Linked DNA regions of Drosophila melanogaster. The protein of the gene in region 1 interacts with the protein of each later gene in a pairwise test. Each region holds a gene or a part of one and is shown in the gene's direction. Other genes may lie near its edges. The genes, in order: l(3)L1231, CG14062, CG11134 and M1BP.

What was found.
Region 2: the proteins of l(3)L1231 (region 1) and CG14062 interact in a two-hybrid assay, tested with the Drosophila melanogaster proteins (one large-scale study listed by BioGRID).
Region 3: the proteins of l(3)L1231 (region 1) and CG11134 interact in a two-hybrid assay, tested with the Drosophila melanogaster proteins (one large-scale study listed by BioGRID).
Region 4: the proteins of l(3)L1231 (region 1) and M1BP interact in a two-hybrid assay, tested with the Drosophila melanogaster proteins (one large-scale study listed by BioGRID).

The regions. Positions count from the first base shown.
Region 1 is NT_033777.3:14,651,933-14,657,335, reverse strand, and holds the start of l(3)L1231 (lethal (3) L1231), read left to right. Parts: upstream 1-2,138; 5' UTR 2,139-2,178; intron 2,179-5,403.
Region 2 is NT_033777.3:28,640,942-28,645,276, reverse strand, and holds CG14062 (uncharacterized protein), read left to right. Parts: upstream 1-2,385; 5' UTR 2,386-2,388; coding exon 2,389-2,431; intron 2,432-2,488; coding exon 2,489-2,881; intron 2,882-2,951; coding exon 2,952-3,556; 3' UTR 3,557-3,692; downstream 3,693-4,335.
Region 3 is NC_004354.4:13,735,749-13,740,137, forward strand, and holds CG11134 (uncharacterized protein), read left to right. Parts: upstream 1-2,193; 5' UTR 2,194-2,240; intron 2,241-2,390; exon of another isoform or gene 2,391-2,425; 5' UTR 2,426-2,500; coding exon 2,501-2,628; intron 2,629-2,691; coding exon 2,692-3,162; intron 3,163-3,237; coding exon 3,238-3,322; 3' UTR 3,323-3,429; downstream 3,430-4,389. Other genes in the region: g (garnet), read right to left, coding at 194-292; Grip91 (Gamma-tubulin ring protein 91), read right to left, coding at 1,354-2,058; CG11151 (uncharacterized protein), read left to right, coding at 4,232-4,364. UniProt on the Drosophila melanogaster protein: Catalyzes the dehydration of methylthioribulose-1-phosphate (MTRu-1-P) into 2,3-diketo-5-methylthiopentyl-1-phosphate (DK-MTP-1-P).
Region 4 is NT_033777.3:8,728,632-8,733,354, reverse strand, and holds M1BP (motif 1 binding protein), read left to right. Parts: upstream 1-1,656; 5' UTR 1,657-1,772; coding exon 1,773-1,913; intron 1,914-1,981; coding exon 1,982-2,685; intron 2,686-2,742; coding exon 2,743-2,988; intron 2,989-3,253; coding exon 3,254-3,419; 3' UTR 3,420-3,565; downstream 3,566-4,723. Other genes in the region: CG8202 (uncharacterized protein), read right to left, coding at 1-589, 640-811, 872-985, 1,049-1,139, 1,206-1,222; ranshi, read left to right, coding at 3,695-3,814, 3,872-4,431, 4,484-4,723.

The DNA.
Region 1 (5,403 bases):
GGGGCTTTGTAGAGCTTTTAATGCCCTGCACTACGGCATATTCACTTACAATGAGTTGTCGAGATTTCAGCGTGTTACGCTTAGATGAGATCTAGTAATTAATATTTTATTTGTGGAATAAGCTCACAAGCTAATACTGATATACTGATCGTGATTTTAAAAGTCTCCCATTTGGAGACGTTAGAAATTCGAATGCCGAACATCTTAAGTCGAGCCTCTCATATGTTCGGCATCTCGGCGTTTAGTTGTGGTGTGAATTAACCATGACCGGGTTGAAAATTTGTCGGAACTCGCTTGCAGGCTGATGAAGGATGTTTGAAGTCGGAAATTGAATGACTACACGATGACCGCCAACTAGTGTGCCCAGGTGGACGAGATCGCAGAGTTGCCTTGGTCAGCTAGTATGACCAGCTGTGCAGCGTTCGATAACGTGATATCGGCGCGAATTGAATTTTGGCGCGGAGGTTTTTCCTCTATGACTCTTCTTTAAACCTACTTTTGTTGTTCTTTATGTCGTTATTTAATGGTATTTGTCGGGTATATGATCTTTGGCTTGCCTTTACTCGAGAATCCATCTGGGTATCAGCCGCGAGAGAAATCTTTCAGTGCAACCCACACGGGTATCATTCGCACACTCCCCAGGAGGAGTCTATGGGCTCACAACTTCAAATTCAGCAGCAGCAGACATTGTCCGGACCCGGATCCATCACATTAACAGCATCGCCACAACTGCCTATCTCTATCAGTAGAATGCGACAGCATCAGCGGCTACTCCAACATAGTTCATCTGGCTCTGGGAGGCCTTTTGCGGCCGATCATTTTATCCTGCCGCCAAGAAATATTGCGCAATAGTGGTTCCAAAGCTAAACCACAGTAGAGATACAAATCAAACTGCAGAGCCGACCAATCAGACCGCCGGTGCTCTGATTGGCCGCCCATTGGAGACTGCGCGTTATGGCTAAGGTAACCAGTTTCAAGATGGCAACGCGCACGTACCAATCAGAATCAAGTTAGAACGCTATATTCGAGTTCCTCGACTATCAGATTCCTACTACCTACTATACGTACCTACTACGTTAATAGGAGTGCGAACTAGAACATTTACATATTTTTGGCGTACCGATACTAATCAGCAAGACAAATAAAATGTAAAGAAATTGTTCAAAAGTGGGAGTTTTGGGCGGTTAGTGAGCGTTAAAGTGGACGTGGTAGTCCTTACTCTCTCGCCTTTATAGTTCCTAATATCTCTACATTCATTCGGAAGCACTCGGCTATAGTATACCCTTTAACTGTACGAGTAAGGGGTATAAAAAACGTAAAGGTGGCGGTGGCTGTAGCTTACGACACTCCTTGACACTGGGTCCCAAAATAGCAGTTCAGTGTGTTTGGTTTTATTAATATAATATGGTTGGTTCTTCGCTGAATGTATAATATTATTATTAACTGTTGTTACTTAATGGTTATCAATCCTGAAGCATAAATTTAGCACTTGCTTATTTTGTTTGTATAAATAGCAGCAAAATAGTGATATTCGATAGATCATGTGAATAAATATTTATTTTTCTTCAAAAATATCGATATATTGAAATGTAGATAAATTTGTCACATCCCTAGTTCGCCCGAATGGCTGCGTGTGTGTCTGTGCGCGCGCCTGTATTGTCCGCCATCTTGTCAGCCCGACTTCATCGAAAATTACAAATTTAATCGTTTAACGCGTTTTATGCCCACTTAACACACCAGAAAGTGCTGCAGTACACATTTTCCCACAAAAAGGATATCGTCTTGAGTACGCTGCGCTCAGCAAAGGGGGATAAAATTGCATTTGAAAGTGGAATTGTTGGTGCGGAGAAAAAATTGTGCAGCAAAAAATTCCCAGGTCTGTGCTGTATGTGTGTGTGAGAGGCAGGCCAGGGTTGCCGATCCTCCTATTTATATGTGCATAAAATAGATTTTTAACAGTAAATCCCATTAACTTGTGATCAATTGAGTGCGAATCGCTGTAAATAATTATTTGGCGGGCTGTTATAATTTTTATTTCCCAAAAAACCGCATTATTCTGCCACTTTACTAATTCCCAAAAACATGACAACCCTGTCCGTGGGAAGGGTACTCAAACAACAAAAACGAAGTACGTTGCGCGGCGCCACTTTGACGTTTGAATCGTCATCAGACGGTTGGGTAAATTTTCTCGCTCTCGTTGCTCTCGGTTTCGGCCCCACTGTATGCGTGTGTTGTATGTGTGTGAGCCTTTATGTGAGTGTGTGCGGTCCGTGACGCATTCTTGTTTTGCATCGAAAATCGCCAAAGCAAAGAAAAGCAGAAAAAGCTGTTAAAGCTAAAAATGATTAAATGCTGAAAATCAAAGCACAGTTAAAAATCAAAAGACCCTGCGTGTGCAACTCTAAACGCAAGTGTATCTGTGAGTGTGTGGGTTTGGTGGGGGGCTGTGTGGGGGAAGGAAGCGAAAGAGCCGCTAAAGAGAAGCAGAAAAAAGGGCGAGGGCGACTGCTGGTCGAAACAAAAAAAAAAGAGAAAAAAACGGATGGGGGAAACAGAGAAATCATAAAAACGCCGGCAACAGCGATTCTCGAGTGCCCTTCCCGCCACTCCCCAACAGTTGCCATCCCACCCCTCGCAGCGGCGGCACACCCACAAACCACAAAGCGAATGACAAACAAAACTAAACAAAAAGCTAAAAGAAATTCAAGACGCGCTCCCCACTGAAAGTTCGTTTACACGGAATTGGTTATTTGTTTTGTTTAGTTTTGGAAATTTGTTTATTGGCGACATATGTGTGGTGATGAACCTCCCCCTCCGCCCGCTCTTAGTTATCGTGTGCATGTGTGTGTTTATATTGCTGAAATTCTTCACAAGAGTTGAGTAAAGTCCGTGAGAAACCGAGATTATCGTTAACTTGGTTTTAACGGAACAGATGTGTGTGTTTTTTTTTTCATACCAACAACAGCTGCCGCTCACTACCTACAACAACAACAAAAAGAGCAACATAATAAAACCTCGAATAACGAAAATTTCGTACACTTTTATAAAAAAACAAAATAGTGATCGTAAGCCTTGGATATTTTATTGTGTGAATAATTCTGTTTTAACTTAATTCGCCTTATAATTATGATACTGTTATAAAATAATACTTATTGCACCAAGAAATCACAAAACAGCTAAGGCCAAAGGAAGTGTTTTATATCGGAGATTTACTTTCATGTTAAAATGGAAAAGTAAAGAAAATTACCACATTAATTGGATCTATCATGCGGATGAATTGTTTAAACAACTTAAGTGTCTTTTAAAAATTATACATGTTTATCTTTCCATTTAATATGGATGCACAATCAATTTGGATTATAAAAATATATTATTTTGCATTCGAAAACAATACCAAACGGCTTATTTAGGAAACCTTTCAAAAGCTTTAAATATTCCTACCAGCGTTATTAAATTTCCAAATTGAAATAAATATTTATTTGAATAATTCAGTGAGTCATTTTATGGAACCCATTAATATTTATTGTCTTTTGACCGCGAAAAAGCAAAGAAAAATGCAAAGCAAAATCTTTGACTGTGAAGCCCATAATTATCTCGTATGACTCACGATTTTGGAAGTTTGTTTGCAGACAAAACGAGCAAGATATATGCTCCATAAGTTATGCCAACATTGTTGGCAGCACTCCCAAGGCTTCCCCGGGTTGCTTCCAGCCAGTGTCCACTGTACCACTGCTCTGGAGCCATGAGACCCACTCTGTGGGATGTGGACGGGCCTACGTGCAATGCAAAAGTGGCCAAGTGGAGCTGCAGATGGAGTTCGTTTGGCTTCGCTGGCTGGCTGAATAAACTGAACCGCATGTCTGGCTCTTGGCTTTTACCCCGCATCCCGCACCGTCCTCCCCACCGCATCAAAAATCCATCTCCAGCTGCCTTTGCGGTGGTTTCCAGCCCCGCCCTTCTTGCTTTCCCCCACCCGGTCGTCATTATATTACGTTTTTTGCACATTTCTTGCTTTGCACAATTTAGCCTTCAGTTTCCGGTTATGAAGGAAGCAGCAAACGGGTTCGGACTCAGTATCTCCCTCTCTCTCTCCCTCTGCCCGTTTTCCTCACTTACGGGCAATGTAATGTGCATTTAAATGCAATTTCTGCTGCTGTGCGTCAATGTCGATGAGTTTGCAAATATCATGAAAGCGCGCCGAAAATATGGGAATCATTTCTCACCCTTATCGTAAATCTGAAACACAAGTCAATCATCACTATTTTTAAACATTGCTTATTTACTCCAGGAACAATCACTATCTTATCATGTTCATATTAACAATAAAGGAACCATTATATGCAGATAGTTTGATGGCATAGATTTGATTAATATATCAGTTTCTGGTTCTTGATAAAACGTACTAATATGACAGCAGTTATAAAATGTAGTTCATGTCTGGTTATAAACTAATTTTAAAAGCTTTTTATCGCTGCTATTTTAACAGTTGTCGGAATTATTGTAAAACGCCCGACTAATTAGCTGTTGAAATATTGAGCAACATTTCTGAGATACAACTAAAATGTGAAGAAACAAGGGTGTTAGGGCCCCCGACACTTACAAATGTTTTGCAAATGAATGCCTAGTGTTTTTCCTACCAGCATGTTGAAAACCATTCAACTGGTAGTCGTCGTACTCGTATATTTTCCAGTTCTGGTGTTTTTATGCCGCCGTAGCCCAGTGAGCGTAACGCCTGGAAACGCTTTGCTCTCGTAATTAACCTCTCGACCGACCGGCTTTCTGCCAGCCTATCGGTTTACCTGGTCGCTTGCTACCTGGTCCAAGCAAAGCAACAATCCATCTGTATCTGTGTGTAGCAGCTATCCACAGCTCGTTTAACCAGCAGACCTTTGAGCACGGTTTCTTGGGCCATCACAAGCCGAAAACCTTCGTGTTCCACGGCGTGCGTTTTCCCCGGGGGTTTTCTTCGTTCTTCGCTAATTCTGCCGAAAGGTGCCTCAAAATTTTCCATTAATGTTAGAGTAGCAGCAGACTAATCGCCTTGAAAACACATGAACATGATCTATTATTCCATTGCTTGTGCGTTTCACATCGAGTATTCAATCAGTAGTCAGTCAAGTCGTTTTAAAATTAAAGAATCTAAACTTGTCGATGACTCAGGGGGATATTTAAATTATTCTTTGTTTTGAACATATCGTTCCACTTTAAACCCTTTAGCTTAAAAAAAATAATAAAAATGGTAATAAGGCAGAGTTGTAATTTAATACATATTTTTCAATTTCTTTTTAAGCCACTCGTCCAATTTGTAATTGGATTTTTATTTCATTGTTGAATATGAGCAAATTGAAGTTGATGTGCTGCGCATTTTTCATGAAAAACCATTAACACAAAAGCACTCGTTTG
Region 2 (4,335 bases), about 14 Mb from region 1:
ATAAAGACGAGCCGAAAAAACGAACAAGCTTGAAGGGCAGGAGTATCAAGCACACAAGGATGCGCTGCAGGATTCGTGGTTTAGGCCTCTTTTTTTTTTTGCCCCTTCTTTGCGGCTGCTGTAGGTGCGCTAAAATTATGCAAATCATCGTAATACTTTCCCGGCGCAAAGCAAAGCGGAAGGAAATTGTGTAAAAGCGGCAAGAAGGCTATATGTGCTGCTGCCTTGTCTGTCTGCTGCTTTTGGCAGCCTTTTCGGCAGGCTACAAAGCAAATAATTGCCCCAGAAATTGGGGCCATGCAAACTGTAATGTAATGGAGCCGTTTCGCTTTGAACGTCGTCGCATGTGAAGCCCTAATGATGATATTTCCCGAAAAGAACTCTGAATCAAATAAAGCGCCTGTGTTCGGTTGGTGGAAAACAGTAAAATGAAGTGAAATACTTGGGAAGTGTTTGCCCAGGCGACCGCAGTCAATGGTGGAAAGCTTAAAGACTCTTGGCCCATAAAAGAGTTTAAGCTGCCGCCCAGCCGAGCATAAAGTGCACACCCCTCTCGCCAGGATTCAGTCCAGCCGCCAGCATCCTTGGTTTCCGCTTCCTGTGGTTTGGTCGAAAAATTTAATAAACGTCAAGCTGAGTGGCAAAGAAGAACGAGGGTCCAAACATTGCACCTGCCGCTGACCGCATTCAGGAATGTTAGTGAAAAGGTGGCACGCCGAAATGCATACTTGTATGGCCGTATACACCCGTACGTATACACGTATTGTCCACACGAAGTAGCGGCGGCAAGTATGCAATATAGCGTATACGCCCCGTGACACATTTGGGACAGCCAGCAGCCTTGATCCCAGTGATATCACGGAAACTTCATAAGTCCCTCGCACACGCCCAAGACCCATCTCTGATTTATGGTCTTTAACTTGGTTAACTTGCCATCGCTCATATGTCCTCGTGGTCTTATAATTGCACTTCTAAACATGAGCCATTTATAAATCTTAGACTTGCAAAACTTTTCCCATTTCCCCAATAATTTCGCGCAACATTAACGAGCTTATTAATCGTTGCCCTCTTATAGTCAGAAACATCAAGCACGTCGCTCGCTCGATTCAGTAGACAGGACTCTGATCCTGGGATGAAGGACGCGTGAAATTGTCACACACAACCACATTTATGTGGGGTTGGGGTCGAGGTCACGGAATTTTATTGGTTCCCCGGTTTGGGTGGATGCCTTTTTTGAATAGCGCGACACATTAACTTAATAATTTAGTGGGTGTCGAGTGGGCTGTTATAAATATTTATAAGAGCCGCCCTGAGTGGGCCGTCGATGGCAGGACTAGATCTGCTGCTAAGAGCTACTCCAAACTATCCCATCCGTGCGAAGATTCCCCTGGATTCTCAGGCTCAATTGCGCGTAAAAGTCAAATGTCTGTGCCCTTCGCCCAAAATGCTTTCTTGGCACTTGGCAGATTCCAATACACACATGCAAAGTTTGCACGTCCTGGCATACACACACGTATAGGTATCCCATATACATGGCTCCTCTAAGTCGACGTTATATATGCGCATGTATTAGTTTTGGCCGCCATTTCTGCATGCCATACAAACGGAAAAGCTTACAGTCGTTAAGGGATTTAGCAGGCAAATATAAATTTATGAAATATTCGCAAGGATGTGCGAGATGCCCGTCTATGGTGGCTACTGCTATTGCACCTTTCCGCAAACAAACCAAAAGATCACACCGTTTTGGCTTGGTTAGAGCTACAGCTATACCTCCAGCCATGCAGCCATATAGATGGGGCAACAAACACAATCTCAGCCGCAAAACGAGTTGTTCTTGCCCACTGGACGTAAAGCTGGACATGGACAAAATCAATGCTAAACCAAACCAAATCGAACCCAACCCAGCCAAACCGAACTAATGTTATTTGTGGAACAAACAACGATAATAAAATCATGGGGCGCTGGGTAAATGGAAAGTGATTCGGTTGGTTCTGGTCAGGTTGTGGCATCGGGCCAATAACTAATTTCATTTAATCTGCCAGGCACATTTGCAATCGGCAAATGGCAGCATATGCACACAAAAGTTGACAATATCCGCATGAGGCCCCCGCTTTTAAACATTACCTGGGGCCCCTGATCTGGAAGTAATTAAGCCAGCCAGGTGATAATGTAGGCCACTCTTTTTCACCTTTAATTCGTTATCCAGTTTAAGCAATAATGATGTAATAATATAATTAATTTTGGATCGCTCGTGCAAGTCGATGCAAACAATAAAATTCGACAATGAATTGCACGTATTTTTGAAACAGTTGTGCACACACTTCTCCGATTTCCGTACAATATAAATAGACCTGCAAGCGATTAACTGCCGAGTTGAATCTTTCGGATATGTTGCGAATTCTACTTCTGCTACTGGCATTCTGTGCCTTGGGTAATAAATAAAAATATATTCTCGGCTATTGCTGGATGTAAAGTTTATATTCTTAAGCACATGGACAGTGCCGATTCACCAGAGCTCAAGTGCAAGGGACCAATCGGATCTTTATGGTGCGTGGTCAGAACCGCCAGCTGTCCCTTAAGCGAACAGCCAGTTCGGCGGTTGGCGAAACCCTGCAGATGTGGTGCAATCCCCGGGACATAGTGGCCACCACCTGCCAGGCGGGAAGGGTTCCAGCCTTCCAGCCACCCTTGCCCATGACCTGCCGCGCTGCTCCGGCGGCCATCACCACACCGGTCCAAGATCGCAGATGTCCGGCCACCATGTACCGGGTGGGCTACAACGTGGGCAACAACCAGTTCCTGGAGCTCTATCGCGCCTGCTTCGATACCAGAGCTGTGAGGGCTATCTTCGTGGAACACCGGGTGTATGGAAAGCCCTTCTGTAAGTACATATACAAAAGTGTAAGTTAAATCTTAATTATAAAATGAATATCAAACTTACAAATACTCAGATATCACCCGACCCTGTGTCCAATTTAGTTCGGATGGAGTGATCAGTGGCGCGGATGAAGCTAGCTATACGGTCCGAAATATCCACGGCACCTTTAGGAGGCTGTTTGGCAACAATCAGAACTATATACCGAACAACCGCGATGTGATCATCAATCGCGGACATCTGGCCGCCTCGGCCGACTTCTTCTTTGGTGACCAATTGTGCGCCACCTTCAAGTATGTGAATGCAGTGCCGCAGTTCAAGAGCATCAACGATGGCAACTGGGAGACCATCGAGCGATTCGTTCGTAATTCGGTGACCGGAAACAACTTTGTGAATGTGCGCACCGGGGCCAGGGGCGTACTCTCGCTGCCATCGGGCAATAGACCCAAGAATGTCTTCCTAAGTGGCAACAGGAACCCGGTGCCCCAGTGGATGTACAAGATAGTGCGGAACGCCAACAACCAGCCCATCGTGGCCTTCCTCACCCTGAACAACATCTACGCACGTCAACGTCCAGCTGCTCCCAACTTTTGTCAGCCCGTGAATTGCCCAGTGGCATTGGTCAACACGGCACAGGCTGGCTTTTCGTTCTGTTGCAACCCCGCCACTTTCAGGCCCTAATTGGATGCCTTTCTCAATAAGAAAAACCTGTCAGCCTTACAAAAATGTGAGGTTTTTAATATAACAAAATTCAAACATGGTAATAATTTAAACAATAATTTAAACTGAAATTAAAAGTATATTATTTTGGCTTTAGATCGCAAATCAATTTTCATTTTCATAAATCGTAAATGCTTGCGTGGCAGTTTAAAACGCGTGCGAACACTTCGAATTCATGGCTCATTCGGAATGGACTCGAGACGTCAGTTTTAATGGTCATTCAGCGGCTTCTCATAAATTTATCCCCCCCGGGCCACCACACTGCCACTGCCACCCGCTTTTGGCCCATTTAAATTCAAGCTGCGATTGTGGCGGAGGGCAAACGCTTTTCAATGCGTGCGAGTGCAATAAAGGCAGGCGGCCATGGCAATTGCTTGGCCGGGGGTTGCGCCTAAAAGTAGACATTAAATAAATTATTCAGCAGGGCATGGCTGTTTGTGTCTGTGCTGCTTTTAAATACGCACGCCTGCGAAATTGTTTTGTGCGTGTTCTGCCGGAATGGAGCTGATGGATATCCTGGATGGATAATGGAGCCAAAGGGCCGGGGACACTGGGAGCTCATAAAAGTGCAGAATAAATTTAGCAACCCGGACATGCGTTCAACTGGGCTCTCATAAAACCTAACAGTTGTAATTGTGCTGTAAACACGCAACTCAATGGCGTTGTGAATGGGCTGAGCACTTGCACCACCCAACATGCCGAGCACCCACATTCTGACCATCTCTATGCATCCATTCTGC
Region 3 (4,389 bases), on another chromosome or scaffold:
CACTTTCACCCACACACACACACACGCACACATGCAAGCACACCAAACTCTAATAAGATTCCCTTAATGCAAACGAAATTTGTCAGCCAATTAGCGAGTTCTAATTGGACGCACAGCTGGGCCGCTTGGGGGGGGCGTGGCAGTTGGAGGACAGCTGTTTTGGTGGGCGGTGGAGGCGGGGCTGCACGCTTACCTCATTATCCTTGTTGTTCCTAATGCCGCGCACCAAATCGGTGAGGTTTTTATCAAACATACGCTCGAAAAAGTTACCCTTCACTTTTTTCAGTGCCATGTTTGCAGTTGCTGTTGTTTTTGTTTTTCTTTTTGCTGCACTCCGTGGCGTTACTTTGATTTGCAATCGGTGTCTCGATTGGGAAATTGGGCTATTTTGGCGAAGCGATTTCAGCACATCACCGGCGGCAGCACAAAGCACTCACTTCCGTCTTTTTCCGATTTGTTTTCGTTTTTTTTTTAACTTTAATACGCTCGCAAACTAGAGGTGGTACGCAAATTTGTGTTTAATCGATACTATCGATGTTTGCTGCACGTTGGTGGTTGGCTACGCTGAATAGTAGGTGGCTGCACTCGCTAGCGGTGAAATGTTAACCGCTTCGTGGACTGTCGATAACTCGCTGCGCATTCGATTACAAAACCGTTTTGAGATCAGAAAGTTTGAGTGAGAGTGAGAAGGAAATAATATAAATAACTGAATATTTCGGCTTTCTTTTTATACGCATTTACAATAATTGAATAAATAACTATTACACTCTTATAACCCAAATTTTTGTAATTTATAATAATTAAATAGAGACGGAAACTTTCAATGCAAGTTGCGTTTATTTCGAGCTCGCATTACGGTTTAAAACTGTTCAAAACATTAACTTTTTTAAAACATTCTTTTAAAGTACGTAACATTCTCTTATTCTCTTTAATTACAACATGGCAATTGGCAAATGCACTTACGAAAATCTATTTCAACTAAGCTTCGATGTAAAAAAAATTATGGGATTCGCAAACAAAATAGAACGTTGCGTTTTTCGACAAACAAATTGTCGCTTAATACTTTCGTTACAACTACTCAATAATTTTGTATTGGAGATATCTTAAGTTGATGGCTTGCAGCCAGGCGATTGACGGCAAAGCTTGAGATATATATGTATAGAGGTTGTTTTCGATTCGAAGGCTTAGTTAATAATTGGATTAGTTTGTTTGGTTGGATTGGCTCCAATGATATCGAGATATCTCAAATATTTAGCAGCAATTGAACTGAATGGAGTGCTGATGCTGTATGGGATTTGGGATTTGGTATGATGTATGGACACTGGGATAAACCGATTGCATGGACATTGGTCGCTATTCCTGAGTGGACGGCGTACATATCACGAAGCGACTGTTCACGGCGAACACATTGCTCATGCGCATGTGCTCGAAGGTCAGGGGTTTGCTCAAATTGGTGTCCCTCTTCTTGTAGTACTCGTTGAAGTCCAGCCGAGTGCCAAAGAGCTGCAAATTCGGATCGTCGCTAGAGTTGAGAGACATTAGGAAAGTGCTGACAGCCTTTTCGTAATCGGTTGCTATGACTTCTAAGCCGCGGCAGGCGATGTCCATCTTTTCGGCAAATATCTTCGCCTCCTGGTCGCGCTGCAGGATCATCTTGTTGGTCAGTCCGTAGACACCCTTCTTTTCCGATTTCTCCACAATTTTGGACAGTTCCTTGCGGGCATTTAGCTCCTTAAAGCAGTCCTTGTAAAAGCTCGACTGCCACTTCTCCAATTCGATAATGTTCTCGTACACCACCTCCAGCGAATGCTCCACACTCGCTTTGTTGCTGACAAAACAGCCCACCAAAATCGTTTGCAGAAACTTCTCGTGAGCTTCCAGGATTTCGTCCAACGTAGTAGCCTTCTGCATCTTCTTCTGTAGCTCCACCCAGTTGCACTCGATGACCTCAAATAGCACATAGTACTGCATTTGGTGGATAAAGTGCATGATCTCGGAAGTGAAAAGGTTGAGGCGGTGTGACGCCTTGCCGATTTCGGACTTCATTGTACGAAGGGCCTGAAAAGATGTTTAATAAACAATATAATTCCAAAGGTGAGCCACATAAAAACAAAAAAGTTTATAATAAGACTTACAGAATAGGACTACTCAAGAAAATTGAAAAAAGTTCAAATGTAGCAAGCTTATTATATTTATACTTGTAAAAAACGTTTTCAACAGCGCTATGAAACATTTTTGAGGTAATACGGTGATAATAATATCTTGTTCTCTTAATGAACTATTGCACATTATTCAATTTTCAAAAAACCATTTCTAATTGGACAATGTTTATCGTAACGGCAACGCTGTGTGTTAACAGCGATACACCGATTGCAATCGTCTATCGACGGCAGCATTGTTTACATTCGTGATTTGTCGCTTTCAGAATCCCTTTATCTCCCGTTATCAGTGTCGCACGGCGACGAAGATTACGTCCCACGAAAGTCACATTGTCAGCGAGATGGCCCTCTCGATCTTCAAAGACTTGCCGGCGGAGCATCCTCGCCACTTGATTCCCTCGCTATGCAGGCAATTCTATCATTTGGGATGGGTGACCGGCACAGGAGGTGGCATGAGCATTAAGTACAAGTGAGTACAAGTGATACTATACATCTATCCAGACAGCCATATAAGCCGGTTAATCCGTTTCAGCGATGAGATCTACATAGCACCGTCGGGCGTCCAGAAGGAGCGAATGCAGCCGGAGGATCTCTTCGTGCAGGATATAACCGGCAAGGATCTGCAACTGCCGCCTGAGATCAAGGGCCTGAAGAAGAGCCAATGTACGCCGCTCTTTATGCTGGCCTATCAGCATCGGCAGGCGGGAGCCGTCATCCACACCCATTCGCAGCACGCCGTAATGGCCACGCTCCTGTGGCCAGGGAAAACCTTCCGCTGCACCCACTTGGAGATGATCAAGGGCGTCTACGATGAGGCGGACAAGCGATATTTGCGCTACGACGAGGAGCTCGTCGTACCGATCATCGAGAACACACCCTTTGAACGCGACCTGGCCGACAGTATGTACGCCGCCATGATGGAGTATCCGGGCTGCAGTGCGATCCTGGTTCGACGACACGGCGTCTACGTTTGGGGACAGAACTGGGAGAAGGCCAAAACCATGTGGGTTGCCTCACTTATTCTCAGACACCGAGCACTTTTATAGACCTAATCGTTTATCTCTCTTTTTACAACCAGGTCGGAATGCTATGACTATCTCTTCTCCATTGCCGTGGAAATGAAGAAGGCCGGAATCGATCCGGAAAAGTTCGAGAGCTCATAAGGAAGTGAAGCTGATACGAACGCACATTCTACTTGTCGTTTAACCCTATAAATTGATGCATTTACTAACTGAAATCCATTGGTCAATGCAAAATAATAGTACTGAATAATGCTTGCGTTTTATGAATCGAATCACGATATATGGCATTTGGGGGGTTAAAAATATTTTCTCAATGGGCTCGTTAGGTGACATATTTTGTCGAAATAATCTGAAGAGTCTTCAAGCCTTATCGCCGTTTTATGGGCATTTCAAACTGGGTGCGCACTTTGCACTAAATCGTGGACAACAGCTGATAACCGCTGTTACGGCTTCATGTTAGGCGTTTCATGTTAATGTTAAAGTCTAAACTCCACACCTGTAACAGTGGGCTAACAAGCGGTGAAAACCAAATGATATCGATACAGTTATTTACTTTTTCATTCTGATATCATCAAATATCAGAATTTCAATTCAGCTTAATGAAAGAAATATCGCATAAACGATATAAATAAAAGCTATATCTGATATGCAAAAGGTTTTCGTGCAGCCACTTTATTTTGAGTTCATGCCCACTGTGCATCAGCTGGCTAACATTTGGAAGAGAGCGAGAGAGAGAGGGAGCGCGACAATAACAGCACAACAAGGCTTATGCGAATGCAACAGGTGCGAGTGAGGGCGACATATCGCGACCGGCAACTTGCTATACGACCATCCCGCTCCCACACAACAGGGGCAGTGTAGTGAAAAAAGCGACAATAAAATCGCCGATTGCACGCCTTCTGCTCATTACTTCGCGTTCCGCTCTCAAAGCGTAAGCACTTTTCTTTTATTTCTACGACGCACAAGCCCACTGAATATTTTCTTTATTCTTCCGGAAAAACAAAACCGCATACACACAGAAATACCCCCACAACAACAACAACAACAACCATGTCTCTGCAGTCGGACGCCGTTTTCCAAAAGATCATCGATGGACTGAAGGAGAACGAGGCCAAGGCCAAGGCGGTCAACGGTGTGTTCCTGTACAAAATCACCAAGGACGGCAAGGTGGCCAAGGAGTGGAGTAAGTATCAGTTATCCATCGCCCA
Region 4 (4,723 bases), 5.9 Mb from region 1:
ACGCCCATGCGCACCAAGTAGCAGCGGGCATAGCTCGATACCAAAGGATCAGCTATACCCCTCAGTTGATGGGTCAAACGTTGCAAAATGCGCTCATACTCCTCGCGCGATGATGACAGGAACTCGTAGCACTTGAATATTGACAGCTCCAAGTAAAAACGCGGCAGTAACTCACGAATCGAGGCGATCTTATAAAACCAATTCTGGCACGTATCCCGGGCAGCTTCCCGTTCCCGCTCTAATGTGGCCGCCGATGCGGCAGGATCTCCAGAGGCCTTAGCACGCAGTCGTTCGTATACCAATTTTCCAAAAACATCCAGTATATCAGTGATAAGAACGTACTGACTCGGATAGAATTGCAGCACAGTGGTGTCCGCTAGCATTTTGGCACACTGTATGGCTATCTTCAACGCTTTTACTCGCTGATCGTTGTGCCAGGACTGGATCAGCTCCTGCTTGAGTTGCTCAAACCGCTGAATGTACTCCTGCTGAGTAAGATCCATCATGTGACGCATGCTGCCATCGTCGAAGTGGTCTAACTGCTCCAAGCGAAACTTTGTCTTGTCGGCCACCACCGTTTGTGCTTTAACTATGATTGTTGTTAATATATATCACAGATCAACCGACCACTGAACTTACTGCTTTCGTTGCCGCCATCCAGGCTACCAGATGACACCAGAAAGCTGGTAGACAGCGATAGCTTCTCATTGGTTGTAAAGCGGTTGAGGATGCCTAGTCGTCGGCTGCTCCACTGCAGTGTGTTGTCCTCGGGCTCCGTTCGGTCCCGTTCACGACGCTTCGACTTGAGATCCTGAACATCCAAGTGCGAAAAACTTAGTCATGTTCCTTGCCGGTGCACCACTCTACTTACGAATTCGCTGACCATTTGACTGAGCGGATCGTTGAGCTCATCATCTTGGCGTGCAAACTGCGAGAGCGGATCTGTGCCCTCTAGAGCTCGGCTCAAGGGATTGCTGTCCACCACCTGGTGGAGATTGTTCTTTCATTAAAATCACTTACAGATAAGGGCGTTGTACCATTTACCCACCGTCACCGTCCGCTGCTTTAGGGGATGCTCCAGCGTGGCCTGCCCAGTCAGGCAATTCTTCCGGACCTCGTAGCATCGCGGCACGCACACCCTGCAGTCAGGAGAAATGGTTATCAATGCTTATTTGTTTATTTTCGGGGGAAAATAAATAAATTACCATTCCAAGTTCGCCATAGCGTCGTGGTTGTTGTTGTCGGCATTCCTGACAGCTGCTTGCCAACATGACATGGACGTAGCCGGTCAGGGATGAAATACACCAAAGAAACTGTACTAATTCCAGGGACTTTAGCTTAGAACCTGTTCTACTGTATATATTTCGTTTCGCTTGCAGCTCTATAGAAATTAATTTATAAAAAAGATTTAATTTAAAGATTTAAATAAAAGATTTTATTTATAATTTTATAAATTTAAAATTATAAAACAAATTAATTCAAATTTATATGTGATATTATTGGAGTATAATAAATATGCAAATCCGTTAAATATCAAAGCAATATATAATACTAACGTTAACAAAGTAATTCATTTTCGAGGATATATATATATTTTGGCATCATATGAACCCCTTTGCCTACGCCACTGAAAATATGTTTATTTCGGGGCGAATGGCAAATATTAACACGAAACACCGGGTGAATGGCAAATGCAGTTGACAAGCGACGCGTTTATTTTTTGTGTTCACAAATATCTTAAAAACGATTTCATTTCGGATTGCGAATGAAAAATGTCGAAATCGGCGCTGAAACACCTAAAGAGCACCTGCCGCGTATGCGCAAAGTATGCAAGCAACAAGCGGTCGCCGAAGTTATTCGAGCGGAGCAACACAAAGATGATCGACAACATTGAGGCGCTCACAGGCCTTCGGGTAAATTTTTCACTGCGGCTTTATGGAATTTATGTAGTTATAGCTTAATTTATTGGTGTTTAATCTAGCTGGAGAACTACGGTTGCCTGCCGGATCAGATATGTGAATGCTGCAGCATGGAACTGGCCTCCGCCGTTAAGCTGAGGGAGCGCTGCATCGCCGCCCAGCGTGAGCTACTCTTGGGATTGACCGAGGAGCAACGCCAAGGCATCTCGGCCTTCTACCGGGCGGCTGTCATGGGCGAGGATATTGTCCAGACGGTGAAGACGCCCGACGATGATGAGGTCTATGCCACTTATCAGGAAATCGTATTGGAAGAACCTAAGGAAGAGATCGACGACACCAAGGTAGAGTACGATAATACCTACTACGAGGTGGCCGAGGGACACGCCGGCGAGGACGACGCAGCCTCCTTGATTGAAGAGGCCGACTATGATTCCATAATGGCCGAAGACGAAGAGCAGCAGCAAACGTTGGAGCTGGACGAAGACACCGAGCTAATTGTGGGCGACGTCAACGACGCGTACGTCTACGATTCGGATGATGAGGTGGCCGTTCTTGACAACGTGCTGGATGATGAGTACGAGCATGAAAACATTGTCGTCAAGAAGTGTAGTCTGCCGCCAAAGCCAAAGGTCCGGTCGGATGATGCGCGTCGTCGTGGCACCGGCGGAGTATACATCTGCGAGCAGTGCGGCAATCACATCAAGGGACGCATGGCCTTTGAACTTCACTGTCGTCGCCATCGTGGGGACAAGCAATTTGGCTGCGAGTGAGTACATTTCTACTCCTTTTTGGATACAGTATGACTAAATGGATTTATTTTCAGACTCTGTCAGTCGCGCTTCTGCACAACTTCCGAGCTGAAACGCCACATGCGCAAGCACACCGGAGAGCGACCGTTTGCATGTAAGTACTGTGGCCGCTGCTTCACAGACTACACCACGCGCGTGAAGCATGAGCGTACCCACACCAATGAGCGCCCCTACGTCTGTGGTACTTGCGGCAAGGCCTTCACTACCGGCTACATCCTTAAGAACCATATGCTGATACATTCCGGCGAGCGGGCCTACAGGTACGTTGAGTCATACAGCTACACAGTACCGGGAAACCCAATAACTAGGTTTCTTAGAAATTCTAAGATCATATTATGCGGCATTACAAGAGTTTTCCAAAACCTTATGAGAGTTAAGATAACTAAATATTACTTATGTTGCCAAATTTCGTGAGTAATATTTAGTTATCTTATAATAATTTCTTATAATAATATGAAACTAGTGATACTGGTACAGTTACTGAAATGTTTGAAATGCCATCTAATACTGAATCTTCCCCTCAAGGTGCGAGCTGTGCGACAAGTCCTTTATGCTGCCCACCCACCTGAGCACCCACTTCCGGTCTGGCGTACACAAGCGGCATCTGGAGAAAGCCGAGATGAAACAGGTCCTGGAGCAGGAGCAGAAACGTGAACTCAAGGAGGAGGAGGAGGACAGCCTGCACATCTAAAGCTGTCCTTATAATATATACATAGCAATTACAGGCAATGCTAGACCGACAATGGCGCACAGCCAAGGAGCATTTCTGCAAATAATTAACAAACCAATTGTAATATGTAGAACTTAATATTGAATAATAAATCAAAACTTCAAATCCCAACTTATGAGCATTTATTTCATCTGTAAAAATTGCTTCCATGCGAATGGCAAACGGAACAGCTGATTGACAAGCATAGCATTGTTTACAAAAAGTTTGGCGTTTCAAACTTTTTTATCGGCTCAAAAATGGAAGGAAAAGTGTGTCGCACTTGCGGCAAGCGCACGAATGCTGAAAGATCATTGAATATTTTTGAAAAGCGCAATCAAACTACGCTGGAACACATCAAACTACTAACTGGAGCTGTGGTGAGAGGATAATAATGCGTAGTGTCTTTAACTTTCTAAAGTTTTTTCTCTTTACAGTTAAAGAACTGTAGTACGTTGCCAAATCGACTATGTGCGTCCTGCCAAACTTGTTTGCAACAAGCCATATCCTTTAGGGAACGCTGTTTGGAAGTCCAAAGGGAGTTGCTCCATTCCCAAGATGATGAAGACTTCCTTAGAATCTGCCAGGAATCTCCCAAAAGTGTCCTTGAGCAGGAGGAGTTGGAACTGGATCTGGCAGAAATAAGCATAGAAGTCGAGCGATTAGACGATCTCAATGAAGGGCCCATTCAAAGCTCCGGTTTTAAAGTGGAGGACATTCTAAATGAATCTAAAATCAACGAAGACGAGCCCAATAATGAGGACGATATTGATTATAGTGAAATGGATTACCTTATTTACGAAAGCGATACTGAAGTAGATGCAAAGCAGGAACTCAAATCAGACTCTGAGAATCCCAAAAAAAGGAGAAATCGTCGAAATCCCCGCGACTCCAATAGGACCTTCTTTTGTGAGGAGTGCGGAAATCACATAAAAGATCGAATATCATTCATACTGCATTGTAAGCGACATCGCGGCGTCAAGGAGTTTGGGTGCGAGTAAGTGGCAATTCTACTTAAGATTGATCCTAACTAATCCGCTTCATTTAAGATTCTGTGAGGATCGCTTCTGCACGCCGGCGGAACTTAAGCGTCACATTCGCAAGCATACCGGGGAAAAGCCCTTCAAGTGCAGACACTGTTCCCGCAGCTTTTCTGACTACAGCACTCGGTTGAAGCACGAGCGGACTCACACTAACGAACGACCTTTTGTCTGCAAGGAGTGTAACAATGCCTTCACAACATCCTATATTCTTAAGAACCACATGCTCGTGCATACCGGGGAGAAGGC